Mus musculus: one gene and its partners. The protein of the gene in region 2 interacts with the protein of the main gene of each other region in a pairwise test. Links are inferred from orthologs where the notes say so. Each region holds a gene or a part of one and is shown on either strand. Other genes may lie near its edges.

The links. The genes of interacting proteins can lie anywhere in the genome.
Region 1: the proteins of Fhl1 (region 2) and Akap12 interact in binary tests that used the Homo sapiens proteins (3 or more experiments, as listed by UniProt). The link is inferred for Mus musculus from reciprocal best matches to the Homo sapiens genes FHL1 and AKAP12.
Region 3: the proteins of Fhl1 (region 2) and Mybpc1 interact in a two-hybrid assay, tested with the Homo sapiens proteins (2 studies listed by BioGRID and IntAct). The link is inferred for Mus musculus from reciprocal best matches to the Homo sapiens genes FHL1 and MYBPC1.

What each region holds. Positions count from the first base shown.
Region 1 is NC_000076.6:4,264,663-4,269,954, reverse strand, and holds the start of Akap12 (A-kinase anchor protein 12), read right to left. Parts: upstream 3,627-5,292; 5' UTR 3,437-3,626; coding exon 3,287-3,436; intron 1-3,286. UniProt on the Homo sapiens protein: Anchoring protein that mediates the subcellular compartmentation of protein kinase A (PKA) and protein kinase C (PKC).
Region 2 is NC_000086.7:56,729,725-56,735,065, reverse strand, and holds the start of Fhl1 (four and a half LIM domains protein 1), read right to left. Parts: upstream 3,306-5,341; 5' UTR 3,198-3,305; exon of another isoform or gene 2,898-3,197; intron 1-2,897.
Region 3 is NC_000076.6:88,601,527-88,606,779, forward strand, and holds the start of Mybpc1 (myosin-binding protein C, slow-type), read right to left. Parts: upstream 3,627-5,253; 5' UTR 3,400-3,626; coding exon 3,375-3,399; intron 1-3,374. UniProt on the Homo sapiens protein: Thick filament-associated protein located in the crossbridge region of vertebrate striated muscle a bands. Slow skeletal protein that binds to both myosin and actin.

The DNA.
Region 1 (5,292 bases), on a different chromosome or scaffold from region 2:
TCTGATATAAATATTTGAATATATATATATATATATATACATATATATATATATATATATGTAAGGATCCTAGCACTCGGGAGGCACAGGCAGGTGGATTTCTGAGTTCCAGCCCAGCCTGGTCTACAAAGTGAGTTCCAGGACAGCCAGGGCTATACAGAGAAACCCTGTCTTGAAAAACCAACAAAACAAAACAAAACAAGGATAAAAGTCTTTAATGATCAATTCTATAATAAGAAGGAAAAAAGGATATCATTCTATCTAAAGACGGAAAACTGTCGGGCAATGGTGGCACATGCCTTTAATGCCAGCACTTGGGAAGCAGAAGCAGGCAAATTTCTGAGTTCGAGGCCAGTCTGGTCTACAAAGTGAGTTCCAGGACAGCCAGGGCTACACAGAGAAACCCTGTCTCAAGAAAAACACAAAAATAAAAAATAAAAAAATAAAAAAAGAGGGGAAAAACTATATACTACATAGCAAACCTCCTCAAAATGTCTACAGATCCATCAAGATTATATATTCATGATGTAATCCATAAGTAACTCTGTGAATGTTTCATCTGACCCCACCCCCCAATAGGGGGTGTGTGTTCATGTAGCCTAGATTGAATCAGCTTCAAAATCACAGTGGTCCTCAGACTCCTGAATGCTGGGATTGCAAATGCAAGTCTCCACACCCAGCCAGACCTCTCTCTTTCTAAAGAGCAAACAGGTCTTCAAATCTGATTTTCCTCCTAAATCATTTGCTCAATCTACTAAGTACTAGAGAGACTGTCATTATCTGATACACAAAACGAATCCTCATGAGGTTAAAAGTGAAGCCGGAGAAGGGGACAGCTGGCATTCACCAATGAGATCCCAAGGGCCAGGACCACCACTTCTTCCATCAGCTCTTGCCAAGTTCCTGATGTTTCGCGCCATGCACCTTGCCTCACACAGGGGACAGTTTGTCAGGAAATCGGGTAAGCCCTTCGCCTTGTGGAGCATGGTAGTTAAAAAGCCCCTAAGTCCACAAAGGTAGAAACTGCGGATAGGGGACAAGGGGCTAAGGAGACGAGAGTGATGGAAGCCTCTAAGGTCAGGCATTGGAACTTAAGATAGGCCGGGCGTGGTGGAAAGAGTAAGAGAGGACTTAGAGGTGCTGAATCATTCTTAATTCTGAGATCCTACTGAAAAGTCTTAGGTCTTCAACCCTAGGTAACCTGTGGGTGGAAGGAAGTAACATACACGTATGTGTGCAGCAAGCACGTGCATGTGGATCGATCCATCTTCAAATTGATAACTGGGAAGCGGGCCAACAAATTAATGGTGTCACCAAGTCATCTTTTAAAAGAGACTGCTTGGATGTTTCAAGATGGCGGTTGATGGCGAGGGGGAGGGGGGATGCAGGCTACGGGATGGCGTGGAAGGAAGAAAAGAAAGGTTCATAACTTACTGTAAACAGATAATAAACCTTGACGTCATATAAAAACCAAAGTTAAAAAAAAAGTCTCCTGACTGCAGATTTTTAGCAATTATATCTTAAAATGACTATATTTCCAAACTGGAGCTATGTTGATGGTGATCGCCAGCAAAGCAAGGTGAGGGGCAGTGAGGTGATGAGTCAGCAGATACAGGTGCCTGCTGTGCAAAGCCAGCAGCATGAGTTCCAGCCCCACAACCCACATAAAGGCGGAGGGAGAAAACTAACCGCACAGAGCTGTCCTCTGACCCCCACGCACGCGTGCCAAGGAACAGTTGCCCTGACCACCACCTGCCCAATGTACCCACAAACTAAGCACTAAGGGCAGGTGTACTCAAAGAAGTTTCCAAAGAGTGTTACACGGAGTATTAAAATGTAAATGAGGCATCCAAAAGATGGAGACTGACTGGATGGCAGAAGTCTCTCAGAAGACCTGCGCATCTGAGGCAGTGAGGACTTTGGACTTTATAAGTGGTGATGAGTTAAACACTGGAGGCAGGAACTGTTAAGAGAGGCCACCCAGCCTACATTATACTAGGCAACATAAAGAGCTCAAAGCCATCAGGTCCCACCTCTGTTAGATTTACCTGGAACTCAGTGTTTTATTCTCACACAAAGATGTTTCCACTTCCTGACCCATTTCTAAAGGTCCTCGCTGCTCTCTATCACCAAATTCTGAAATTGGTTGGTTTTTCCTTTAAGTTGTTTGGTTGTTCAACACGTTTCTGTAAAACTATCTTAAATCCACCCGAGCGAACTCTTGCTCACAAACACGTGCTGGAAAACAGCCAACAGGCAATGTTGCCATCCGGGCGTGGCTATGAAATCATTTGAGAGGCTGAGGCAGGAGGACTGCCACTAGTTGGGCTAGCTAGTGAGTTCCAAACCAGCCCTGGGCTACAGAGTGAGACCCAGTCTTAAAACAAGTAAGCAAATTAATTAATTAACAACCCTAAACAATAACAAAACAAAAGGAACAGAAGTAAAATACAATAATGAGAGCAAGACACAAAGGTAAAGGCTGTGATGGGCAGGGCAGGGTCAAATATTCCAGTCTCAAACTAAGCATCCCTATAAAATGCAGTATATCTAGAGCTTTACAGTGGACTCGACAGAAAGAGTGCAAGGAACGCTTACTTAAGCCTTTTCCTACATCCGTGCAGAACTTCTAACTCCAATGTTTGTTTATCCAACTGAGTCCACAGGCAGTAAACTGTGAGAAAGGGAGACAGGACTCCAGGAGCTTTGCCTATCCCTCCATTCGTGCTTCTGCTCCGGTTCTCTCTGTCTGGAAGAGAGCTACATGCATGGCTCTCTGCATTAGCTAGGCGGTGTCCCAGGCGCTGCCGCAGGACTCTGGGTACCAGACCTGGTGGCCCGGGTGGAAGCTGGTATCAAGGCCAACACTGGGCGGGGAACCTAGAACCTAGGTTTGCCCTGCTTCAAAGCAGGTCCCGACTTCCCCACTCTGGGACCTGGGATCTAGGGGTGTGTAAAGTGGCTTAAGAAGCCTGGCCGTGGTCAATTCTTACGGATGCCCCACCGGCCATCCCCCAGGCTGCCAGCCCACCGGAAGAGAGAAGAAAGACTAGAGAACGGCGGTCAGGGCAGATATGATGGTTGCAGAAGGGCTGGCTAGGTCGCCGCCCTTAGAGACCCTCCACAAAGATGCCAGCCCCGCCCCGGTGCAAAAGACCCCAGAGACTGCACAGGGCTGCGCTCGAGTTTGCAGATGGGCTGTACCGGCGGGAAGTTGTGGCAGGCGGAAACCGCCGGGACGCCCCATCTCCATCCCGCCCCACCCGGGCAGGTGGCTGCAGCTTACCTTGGTGGCGGGGTCCGCGTCAGCGGGATCTCCAGCTGCTCCCGACGCTTCCGCTGCGGGCCCATGGCCACTGAGCTCCAGCTCGCTCGGCGTGTCGCTCTCCGCCGGCTGCTCGGGGCTCCGCTGCTCGGTGGAACTGCCTGCACCCATGGCTCAGTGGCTTTCCTACTCTCGCCGGCTAGCCGTCTTCCTGGGACCGCGGAGAAGCAGAGGGGCGAGGAGATGTGCGCCCAGGACCACAGGGACTAAGGGGTGAGGAGCACCCGCTCTCCACGATCCTGCTGAGAACACACCCGGACTGAGAATGAAGGGGACGCGCTCGTGGCAAACTCCTTAAAAGAAAAAAAAAAAAAAAAAGCCACCTCGTAGCCTCCTCCCCCCTCCTTGTTTTTCCCTCCCTTCATCACATGAGCACAGCCCAGACACGCCTTGCAGCATCTCCCCCTAGGCTGCTAGGACCAGAGGCTCCGACACCAGGCCCCCAGCAGCCCACCCCGCCCCCAGGGCTTCTCGGGTCATTAAAGGGGGACGAGGGGTTTGGGGTCTGTCCCAGGGCTGCAGAAGGTTCAGGAGCAGCAAAGAAGGGGGCGGGGGCAAAAGCTTTGTTTTTTTAATGTAATGATTGATAACCCAAGGTTGGATCTTCTGCAGACTAAGGATTTACATTTGACCAGGCGGGAACCCAAATCCCCATTTGCTTTTCTTCAGGTTGGGTTTGACTTTAAGCATTTGTTTCTAGCTTTCTCTCCTTCAGCCGGAGAAAGGAAGCCCTCCTGGGCTGCTCCTGAGCCTGGCCATATTAGGGCGGCTCACGTGGCAGGAGCTGGGAAACCCAGAGGTTGATGCAGTCAGGCCACCGCTGAGGTGGGCCCAGCGTCCCCATGATCCCAGCCAGTGATGTCAGCTGATGCCATCAACAGAACTCGCCGCCCTCTTTCCCCGGGGAACGCGCGGGGAAATGAAGCTGTTACTGGAAATGTGCCTGTCCTTTGAGCGTCTGATGCTGAAGGTTACACATCCAGGCCATTCGTCTCTCTCCCGACGCTTAAACACCACATTGGCTTAGGTCTGCTTAGTCGCCATCGGCATTATCAAAACACGAAGATTTCTCTCGTACTAGCAAAGAAAGGGCCTGTCTGTTTTCTTCCTCCACTTGATTAAATACTCATTGTATTAACATGGCAGCCAATAAGTCTTAAATTGAAATTTTGTTAGATTACCCGTCACTAAGCATTAAAATGCTAGGGGGAAAAGATGAAATGATGTCAGGTGAGCCCGGTGCCATGATTCGTGTCTGAAATCCTGATGCTTCAGTGGCTGAAGTTGGAGGGTTAGCTTGAGCCTGAGGCCTGCATGGGGTAGGTAGTGAGTGAGTTTCAGCCAAGTCTGAGAGCCACAAAGCGAGGCTCTGTGGATGAGTGAAGGAATTAGTGATTTAAAATCAGTAAGAGCATTGAATCTAGATGCCAGATAAATATCTTGTCCCTAGATTTGATACAGGTTACTTGAGTATCAATGAAAACATTAATTTAGCTAATAACACTTGGTCCTTATTCATGGTCATTTAAGTGTTTATTGGGAACAACTCGGTTTTTCAGGATAAAATTTGGTTTCTCCACTTATTTCGGAAGGCCAGTTTCTTTGGGGTTCATTCATTTAGAAACAGACTTTCAAGTTGCTTTTAGTTATTTGTAAGTGTGTCACCTATCTCAATTTGTCTTGTTTGTTGAGAAAGAATTTCTCACAATCTAGTTCAGGCTAGCCATAAGTGTTGTAGCCAAGTCTCTGGAGGGAAGACAGTATAGACTTGTGAGACTGAGACCACACCCTACTTCAATTTAATTTTTGAATATTTAGAGAACATTAGCATCTCCCCTCCCCCACCCCTTACAGTGCTGAGGGGTGGGGGATGGAACCCAAGGCCTTGTGCACTCTGAGACAAACACTCTAGCTTTGAACCATGTCTCTGGCCCAAACTTGAAAGTTCTCATTTTGTATCAGGTACT
Region 2 (5,341 bases):
ACCACAGTGACTCTGTAAATGTTTGTTGGAGAAAGGAATGGTCATATATTTTGCTTAATTACGCACTGTCCTGGCAGAGGGGTGGAAGCAGAGAGGGGGGCAGAGGCAGAGAGACAAGGGGGGGCAGGGAGAAACCTTTTTTTTTCCTGCTCTGTTCAACAGGAGCTAAAAGAAAAAAAAATCTCTTAAGAAAAAATAATTACAATATTCTCCCTTTTATCCCAAATCCAAACAACTGGATAGTTCAGTTAACAAAAAAAAAAAAAAAAAAAAAAAAAGGGCAGACAAAAGTTAAGGAAAGCAGCCAACGAGATAACGACTAAAGTTCAAGCAAGCAGGAACATTTGTTCAACTCCCACAAGGTTATAAAAGCCAATGTTTCTGGCACTAGGGGGTGGGAGTCAAAGGAGGGGTGAGGGAAGAGGAGAACCAGGAGGAAGAGATTAGGAAAACAGGGCAAAGCCTCAGGAGATTAGCTGCCGTGCCTTCAACAAATTATTTGTTTTTAATGGCTAAACTTGGGCTAGGGACATAGCCCTATGATAAAGGCGCCTGCTCCACACAGGAGGCCCTGGGTTCCATCTCCAAGACTACAGCAAATGAATAAATAATTCTTCAAACCGAAGGTGCGAGGGTGGTGAGTTTCTCACGCAAAAGTTCAATTGACAAGTTACTTTTAAAAAAAAGATAACAGAGTGAACTCTCTAAGATTTAAAACAATTACTTCATTGTCCTGTTCGTTTCTGAAAGTTCTTCATCTTTTTTTCCTCCCATCTTACAACAGGTTCTCAAAAAGCCAAGTAAAAGACTCCCTTTGCTCCTTTTGTTTAGAGAGCAACTTAAGGCCCATTTTCCCACCAACATACTGTTCCTTTTCACCACCTTCAGCATTATTCCTCAGACAAAAAACACCAGGCTAAACTTAGATTGTGAAAATCGGTTCTGTCTCACTGTTGCACTGGGGCAGAATACACACCACAGAAATGTAGAATAGTATACAACAGCATAAGCAAATACATTTTTCTTAATCCTGTAGACCCACTTATGTATTAACATTTGCAATAAACAAAGTCAGTATCTTATTGAGGTGATCCATTAATTTACTATATATTAAATCATCTCCAAAGAACTCATATAAGAGGTATTTTACCAATCTGCACATTCAAAATTTCATCCCCCAATCTAGACTTGCTTTAAAAATGTTTTCCTTCTCCAAAAAGATTAAATCATGGAATGGAAGCCTAGAATTTCAGAAGCCATATATGGTTACAGATTCTATACGGTAGTAGTAAAATGTGCACTTACTCTGTAGTGCATTGTACAAACCTTGGCCTATCTAACAAATTCCCTGTTGCATAAAGATTCTATTTGCCCTTAAAAATGGTAAATAAATGTTTTAAAAGAGTGAAGGTAGACTAGATTGGAACCTTATGTAACGGAAACAGGGAAGCATTATATTCCTAGCACATTTAAGGCCCATTGCTTTTTAATGCATATTCTTAAGAAAATATGGGCACGCATTTCCAAAGACAAAATTACCAACCCCAATCCTTTTCAAATGTGAGGAATGGGGAGTAGCCTGTTCCTGGGGATGGGCAAGGATGAGAACTCCTTATCCAATTCCACGTGGCCCATAATTTAAACTTGTGCTACTCTGTAAACATTCTCATTTCCAAGGAACATTATATTTATATTTAAACGGCCTTAATCAAGATAACAAAAATATTCCCAGTATTCTCTAAACTCGCAATACATTTGATAACATGGAGAATTACAAGCAATTACAAAATGATAGCTCCAATTAGGAAAACTGGATCTAGTCCAAATTCAAATCAAAAGAGGCTCAGATAGTCCCGATGGCATCATTTAAATGAAGAGAACAGAGGACTTCCAGCAAAGACATGTGTTCCACTCTTGCTGCATTTCTACGACAGAACTCTTGCCCTTCAGGAAATCCCAAAACCAAATCTGAAATCACATTCATACACTTTCTTGTCTCCTGTTCCCAATGTGCTACCCTAGTTGTGTGTGTGTGTGTGTTTGTGTGTGTGTGTGTATGGCGGGGGGGGGGGGGGAGGTGTCGTTGTAATCAGAATGAACCCAAGAAACTTGAAAGGCCCAAATGCAGAAAATACACAGCACATTCACTGTTTCCCTTGGCCTTTCTCATTCAAACCTCTACCAGTTGTGGAAGACTAAGCAATGGGAACTTGAGAAGCAGAAACCTCTTCCCAGGAGCCCAGAACTGCATCTAGTGGGAATTTTAAGCTTTCTGAAATTGAAAGGTCACACCCAGCAGTCTACCTAACCCACTTTGCCAAGGCTCAACCAAGGCTCAACCTAAGTGCTAGAACCTTCCACTTGCCTCCATGCTGAAGCTGAAATCCAGTCCCCTCTCCCACCCCCATCCCCCATATCACTGCCATTCCCCCTCAGAGAGCAGAACCACGACCAGCCTTCTCCCTCCATCACCATTCTCCTTGCACTCCAGTCCTCCCACTGCCTCCTCCCCAGCATCCCCAAAGGGAGCACAGCAGTTCCCTCAACATCTCCAAGAACCAAGGCAGGTTTCACCTTCCTCCCCTGCCCAACAGGCGCCATCCTTAATGTAAAAACCAATGAAGCCCCCCCCCCATCGTCATCATCATCCCCTGCTCTTCTCAACTGCTGTTAGCTATCCTTTAAAAAGAAAAAGAAAAAAAAAAAACCAAAAACAAAAACCAAAGGTGTTCCCACCTCGCCCAACCCCCACTGCCCGCCATCCTGGGTGAGAAAACCAAAAGCCCCCTCTTTTTACTCCCACCCTCCATCCTTGCAGAGGAAACACCCAAAGCCGCCCCCCTGCATCCCGGCCCCCAGGGGAGCGAAAGCCCTGGGGAGGAGGCTTAGGCACGCACCCTAAGGGACCTTGGAGCCCCAGGTTCCTCAGCCCCCAACGTGGGCGAGGCAGCGGAGGCCGGAGGCCGCAGGTACCCAAGCCCAGCAGGTCCGCGCAGCCCCGGAGTAGCGGCCACGGAGCACGAGCTGCGGCTCCCCGGGGACGCCGGAGGCGTGCGCACACACACACACACACACACGCACACGCACACACACACACACACACACACACACACACGCACACACACGCGCGCGCACACACACACACACACACACACACTCGCGGAGGGAAAGCGGGCTTACTGTCTGGGGATGCTCACCCGCGCAGCTGTCTAGGCGGCACCGGCGGCCGCTGCCAGCTCCGAGACCAAAGCGCAGCGGCGACAGCGGCAGCACAGGACTGAGCCCCCTCGGCCGGGCGGTGGATGTAGGGCGCGGGAGGGGCGCACGGGGAGGGGCGCAAGAGGGTGGGAGGGAGGGAGGAGGGAGCACGCGCGGGGGCGGGGGCGGGGGCGGGAGCGGGGGCGGGCGCAGCCCACTCGGGGCGGGGAGGGGTAGGGCGGAGCGCGCGTCCGCCTGGGCTCTGCCCGTGGTGCGAGGGGCTGCGGTGCGGGCAGATCGCGCTCGCGCGCGGGAGCCCAGTCGGGCAAGCGCGGGAAGGGGGCGCGGCTGCGTGGGCCCCGCCTCGGGAGAGGCCAAGCCGCTGGCTAGGCGCGCACAGTGCGCGCGAGAGGTGGCCGCGAGCCCGCGGTGGCGCGGCTTCCCGGAGCACCCCCTGCAAGCGTCCGAAGGGCACGCGGAGGGCGGGCCAGGGGCGCCCACCGCCCCCCTCCCTCGCGGGCTCAGGCCTTCGCTGGCTGCTGGGGAGTCACGAGTCACTGCAGGCAGCCACGGCCAGAGCCCGGGAGGTGGGAGCAACAAAGAGAGACAGCCAAGGTGGCCTCTAGCCTCTCCAGGGGCCTCGCTGACCTGCACAGCCCAGTACAGCCAGTGATTGCAGATCTCTTGGTTCCCACCACACTGAAAGACCCACCGACGACCTCTCCCCTTAATAACAAGCTGGACAGAACGAAAAGAGCCTTTATTCAGAGGGCTTTCCATCATTCCTAAAGCTCTCACAGCAGAGCTTCACATAGTGACTGACTCCGTCGTTCTTTCCCTAGTTCAGTTCAGTGAGCCCTCAGCATGTGCCCAGTACTGTGCCAAATGCTGTAGATACAGCACAGTTGTGCACACACTCGGCTTTATTGGTGGAAGAAGACAGATTATGAGCAAGTGAGAAAATAAACACAGTGGGATAAACTGCAGGATAAAAGGGTGTATAAATAATGCGAGAAAGAAGGTAGTATTTAATCTAAGCCTTGCATGGTATAAAAGCAGTGGGTGTAAAGAACCAAGGGATAACTTTCCAAACAGAAGGAGCAGAGGCAAGGAAGCCAGGAGAATCCCACCATGTCAGTGGAGGGAAGTAGAAGGACTTGGTTAGAAGAGGGTTGAAGGAATTGCAGGTGAACTAGAGAAACCTGCTTTTTTTTTTTTCCTTTTAAAGAGGACCCGAAAAGGACCAGAAGGAAGGAGTAGGGTCGAGGAAAACTTTGAAAGGTGAGAATAGTCAGTACTTAGAATGTCTAGTGAGTCAGGAGAGAGGTTCATTAAAGGAATCCAAAGTCTTGATTTAAAAACATGAAGGCCAGCTAGGAGAGGGGAGAATCAGCCCTTTATGTGGAAGCAGATGAGGCGGAGCAGCTGTGTATTTAAACCAAGCAAAAGGTCTAAACACTGCTGTTAGCTCGTCCCCCCGTCCCCCCCCCTCCAGCTTCAAAATTCAAGTGATGGCCTCTTTTACCCGACCCAATAGCTACTTGCAAAATTCCTTTCTCTATCTTGCTACCCAGAGCCTACGCCTCTTTTCTCTTTCTGAGCCCTTAGGCTCACTGAGGTCTGGTATTTCTGGATTTGCAAAAAAAGTCTCCCCACACATTTCTTAGGAAAGGAGACTGATCCGCCCCAGGCCATCATGGGAAGGCCTGGAACAATTAGCACCACTTCAAGCAGCTCCCCTGCATACCAGCCCTGGGCTCAACCAGAAAGAAACAGCCAAGAGCACTCAGTGCAAAAGCTCTGGGTGGCTCTGGACAGAGAGCCAGTTACTGGAGATTCTCAGATCAAAGCCTGGGCTCTGGCAGGCCTAACAAGGTCGGCTCCACCACCTGTTTCTGCTCTGCCAATTCAAGTCCCAAGTGATAGTAAAAAGTGGAGAAAGGAAGACAATTTATTCTATGGAGCCACATTGAGAAGAACAAATGAAGGTCTAGTGACTCCCAAATCCATGTAACATGAGGATTAGGATTGAATAGAGAGCCAGAAGTATGTGTAGCTGAGCAGTGTTGGCCAAGTTGGGTATGATCTGGAAACTGACGCGCCACTAGACTCCAGTCTGTCCCACAAGGAAGTCCTGATTGTA
Region 3 (5,253 bases), on a different chromosome or scaffold from region 2:
TGTGAGTTGTGGAGATTAGAGGACAACTCTGGCTGGTTCTCTCCAGGAGTTTCACTGTGTAGGTCTCAGGGATGGAACCACGGTTGAGAAGCTCGGCTGCAATTGCCTTTGTCTGCTGAGCCACCTCACCAACCCCATATTATTTTTAAACTAATAAAGATTCTATCCCAAGAGGAAAGGTTATTGAAACTTTATTAATTTTAGTTTGGTAGTTTCCTTTTGCCTGGAAAAAAGGACATTTTCCAGTGGCGGGTTCTGTCTTTGCATATTAGGACCCATGGGGCAATTATCCATGAAGATGAGCAGAAGTCACCTTATAGATCTCTCTGAAATGGAGTAGAGTCAGGCTTACATAATAGTTAAGACAAAAGTGAATCCATTGGCAAGGCCCTCTGGGAGATGCCTACCAACGGAAGCTTCCTTTCAATGCCTCCTCTCACCATCTGATTGGAAAAAGCACAGCAGCCTCAGGCTCTATATGAATACAGCCTGTGATATAGGTCCATGGGATAAATAATACAGTTATGCAGATGCATATGCAATGGGTGAAATGCAGAGTAAAAAAATGGGAAATAGTTACTCCTGTTCTGGGCAAGGGTGCTCCATAGTAGGGCACATTCCCAGCATGCACAGGGTCCTGGATTTGGTGCCCAGCATCACCAAGGGGAAAACATGCTTTCTGTTTACAAAGGAGTCCTTAAGATAGCCAAAATATTTTCATGGCTCCAAAAAAGGAAATATACTAATTCTTTCCCACTAGATTTTCTCCTTGAGGTTCAAAGCTGCAGCCATCTTTCTCTTCCTTAGAATGACCCACTACCCGAAGAACTGACACCAGATTCCATGAACTAGGCCACAGCAGGTTGGAAGCATCTAAGTGAGATGTCTTTTGCACCTTTAGGTGCTGAAAACTCGGTCTCTTTGCCAGATCCTATCAAGACTCCCAGCCTACTGTTCCCAGCTGTGGAGGAGAAGGAAGATTCGTCAAGGCCAGAGGAGCTGTTCTTTGGAGGAGTGTCTACAGGTAGTTTGTGAAGCAAGGCATGTTTTATTCTTGGTGCTGTCGTTCACAGGGTGGCTTCAGTGGAATTAAAGCCAACAGCGTTGACTGTGAAACCATCTACAGGGTGTGTGGCTGCTACAGGCTAGAGCAGCACAGAAATTATCACGTTCTTCAGGGTGTAAAAGTCAGTGGTCCTTAAAGGCGACATTCTTATGAAGACAAACTAAAGATGCAGCTCCTTTAACAATCATTTCTGCTGGTAAGGGAATTTTAAAAGGACATCGCTGTACTTCCTTGATGGCTTTTAAAAATATCAGTGATGCTTTGGGGGATGCCACTTCCCACCAGCCAAATTTAAACTAAGCAAAGAATCTATGGGTATAAGATTACTGTCCTGGGTGGAGGGGCCCCTACACAGACTATAAAACATAGTTTGACAGCAAAAGAAACTTGTGGAGACTTTAGTCTTCATGGGCATTTATATTTTAAATGTATAAAATATATATGAGTACAAAAAAATTATATCTTCTTTCTAAGCTCTCTAATCTCATTCTTTCTAAATGCAGAATAGATTTGGATCAAGTCGTCAAAGCAAACACAAACCAACCCTTTCATCCAGCAGGCAGAATAATTGAATTTGCTTTATTGGTTCCGCAGCCTAGCACCTGACTTATTAATCTTCGAGCTTTCTTGTTGTTTTCAGTTGGGATTTCAAACAACAGATGCCGTTCAGACCGTTTTAAAATAATCTTCTGTTTTCAGTTAGGAACCATAAAAGGCGTTTCATCCAAGTAAGCCTTGAAGAGGCAGGTCAAGTGACCCATCAGATAAAAGGGACATTTAATACTCATGTAAATCATTTGCATTACAAAGAAGACACTTTCGCAGGGGTTGGACACACACACACACACACACACACACACACACACACACATTTCCCCCCGGAGTTGGGATTAAGTTCCCATATTAATGCATGCATTTGGTGTGGTTATTTTGGGAGAAAGACTTCATCCATCAATGCTCCCTGCCACTAAATAGGGCCAACCTGTAACTGATCACCCCAACCTGTCAGCACTGACTACCTAATTACATAAAGAAAAAATACTTAAAAGCCTTTTCAGAACTCGGTTAGTAGCTCAACTTCAGCTTTAACATGTGGCATCTCTTGCAAAGTTCTTCACAATAACGGCAACAAACACTTTTCAAGATTAAAAATGAAAAGTCTAAATATTGTTTTTTATGTTCACCTCTAAGCCTGTGTACGTGTGTCTGTGTGTGTGCAAGTATGCTTTTATTTACAGAGGAGAAATAAAAAAAAAAAAAAGATTCAAAAAGCCCAAGTGAAACGGATTTGATTCAAATATTTGCATTTTTGTATTAGTTCCAAAGAAGCAAAACATCAAAAACTTGGCTTGTCAAAAACTTGGCTCATCAAAAACTTGGCTCAAGACTCAAAGGTATTCCTCTCCTCTGCAGTCTTTAGTAAGGGGTGAAAGATTTATGTCATCCCAAGGGAAACCAGAGTATGAGGTAATAGTTATAAAAGATGTTTCCACTAGAAGTTAATGTATTAATGAGAATGTACATTTTCATTATTTTCATAACCTCTAACACTAATTTAATTCCATTACTAACCAGAAATTTTAAAATACTGATCTTTTTATAGAAAGGAGAAGTTTTTCTTCTAATGAAGACTACTCTTTAATTGTCTTTCGTTTTTATTCTTAGTTATTTTCTTAAAGGCTACATATTTTAAGATTGTATGCCGCAAAACTCAGGAGAGGTGCAACCTACCACTCATATTCAGAAAAAATTTCTTTCCCAGCAAGAAATTTCAAAGCTGGGCTCCCAAAGGACAATCAAAGAAGAATTCTTATTTGTATATTTCAAATGCCTTTCTGTGAAAAAGAAGAAAAACTACAAATAATATCACAGATTCTTATTATTTGAAAACTTGACCAAATTTATAAAGTGCTTGAAAAAACATCCGATGTTCCAAGCACTGCACACTGCAAACACAAGGTGGAAATTTAGAGAAACAAAGTTAAAAAAAAAACAGCTTGAAAATGCAGCCTTCTTACCGTGAGCAGTTAACATCTTTCATGTAAGCATTTTAAGGACCTTTTGAAATTGAATAATACATTTTCCATTTAATCATTGGAATCAATATAACTTTATAAACTTTTTCAGATATTTCTCAGTTAATTATATAGTCTTCTGGTCTTTTCACACCCATTTTTTAAAATCTTTGTACCCCAGTAATTCTACTGTTTTATAGTCTTTTTTTAAAAAACAATCAGACAACTGTTTAAAAATAAATACTAAAATAAATATTAGAGACCATAAGAAGAATATTTATAGGTGTTCTTACCCTCTTTCTTAGTGGGTTCTGGCATGACCACAACAAAAGATTACTCTCCAAAAGGTTTTCTCCTTTCTAGCAGCGGTTGACAGAAACCCCAAGGGCAGCAGAGAGATGGTGTGGGTCAGTGTGACAAGCAGCTGCTTAGAGGTGGACCGGTTTTATACAGGCTCCGACCATCAATCATGTTGGCGCCTCCCTACTTCGGCACAAGGATGCTGAAACCTGACAGCTCTGGGACCTTTCTCACATCTGTTGTCTGCGCTCCGCTCTCCCGCCTGCTGGAAGGACTCTCCTGTCCGTCTCGTGTGGCAGATGCGAGCATCTCTAACTTTCTAAATTCAGCTGTGCCTCGTGCTCTTTCCTGTTCTCTGCCTGTTCCACAGAAGCGTGTGCCGACTCAGCAGTGCACGGAGTTTTCTGGGCGATGAAATAAATAGATGAAAATCATACTACATGAGCCTGGCTTCTCTCTTAATTTTTATTAAAACTTTTTTTAAGGTATATTAAGAAGATCATTTTTATGCCCACATTATTTGTTCATTTTCCTTATTTCTTAGTTAATGAGATTAAAAATTTTTATTGTATTTCTACACCAATGTTAACTAGTCAGTTAAATATTTTGTTTCATTCTCTCTACTAAGAATAGCAAAGCTGTCTATTTTAGGATACATTGCTCTTGCAACATTTTCAAGAGACAGATATTCTTTTTAAAATTACAAGCATATAAACAAGAATGGAACAAACAGATATGCCACAATGTGAATAGAACTTGAGAGAAACCAGCAATAAAATATAGGTTATACAGTCAAGTTATCCAACCATACTTTCATGAAATATCCTGCCTAGGTAAACATATAACATTGGCAAATAACTTAAGTGATTGTCACAGGCTAGGGGAAGTAGAATTAGAACTGAAGGCACATGAATGCAAAGCTTTTCCTGGCAATGATGAAGGTGTTCTGGAATTGGAGTGTGGGAATGGTTTCATAGCTTTGTGAAATACACACACACACACACACACACACACACACACACACACACACACACACACCACTAAACTGTACATGTGCAACATAAGTAAAGAAAGTCAGATAGACCAGACAATGTTTTGATTCACGGTGACAAATGGCTTCCCCAGAACACCATGAGTAAACAGAACAGTGATTATTAAGATGGCAAATGGGCCCAAAAATATAATCCAAGACAGTCACAGAAGGTATCAGACTTGGTCACTTAGCCTGAAACCTAGAGGAACTAATGAGACCACATGTGTTTTTAACAGAATGTCCCGAACCAGCCACATTGTCTCGGTTAATTTCCCCTGTGACTGAGAGCACAGCTGGGCAGACTTAGTTCTACCAAGCACCGTGCCAAGCTAGGTTTTCATATACGGATGGGAACTCTAGCTCTCAATAGCATCATGAGTTAGCTATGCGGGAAGTCAGAGAGGCAGGCTGGACAGCACTTTCAACGAATACCCCCCTGTTAAGAAAGCCTTCTCTTGTTCTACTGAACACGCCATTCGCCTTTCAAACAGACTCTTTGCTCTTAGATGACAATGGGTTAATGTCAACCACAGAACAGTATATTCTGAATATCACGTTAGACCTGGCTTGAAAGAAGGACAAAGAGCCTACCTGTGTCTACCATGGGGATGTCAGTTAATACATTAAAAGAGTTAAAGAATCTAGAATCTAAAGTCAGGGCCTCAGGTTCTATTCACGGACCTGGTGTAAACCAGCCGAGTTGCTGGAAGGACGTCTGGCTGGCAATCTGTACCTCAGTTTCCTCTTGTGCAAAAGAAGGAGTTTTAAAACTAACCTTAGAGGCTGCGATACCGCTGACATTGAGATGTTTGCTATGGTGGAAGGGCCCTAAAAAGGAA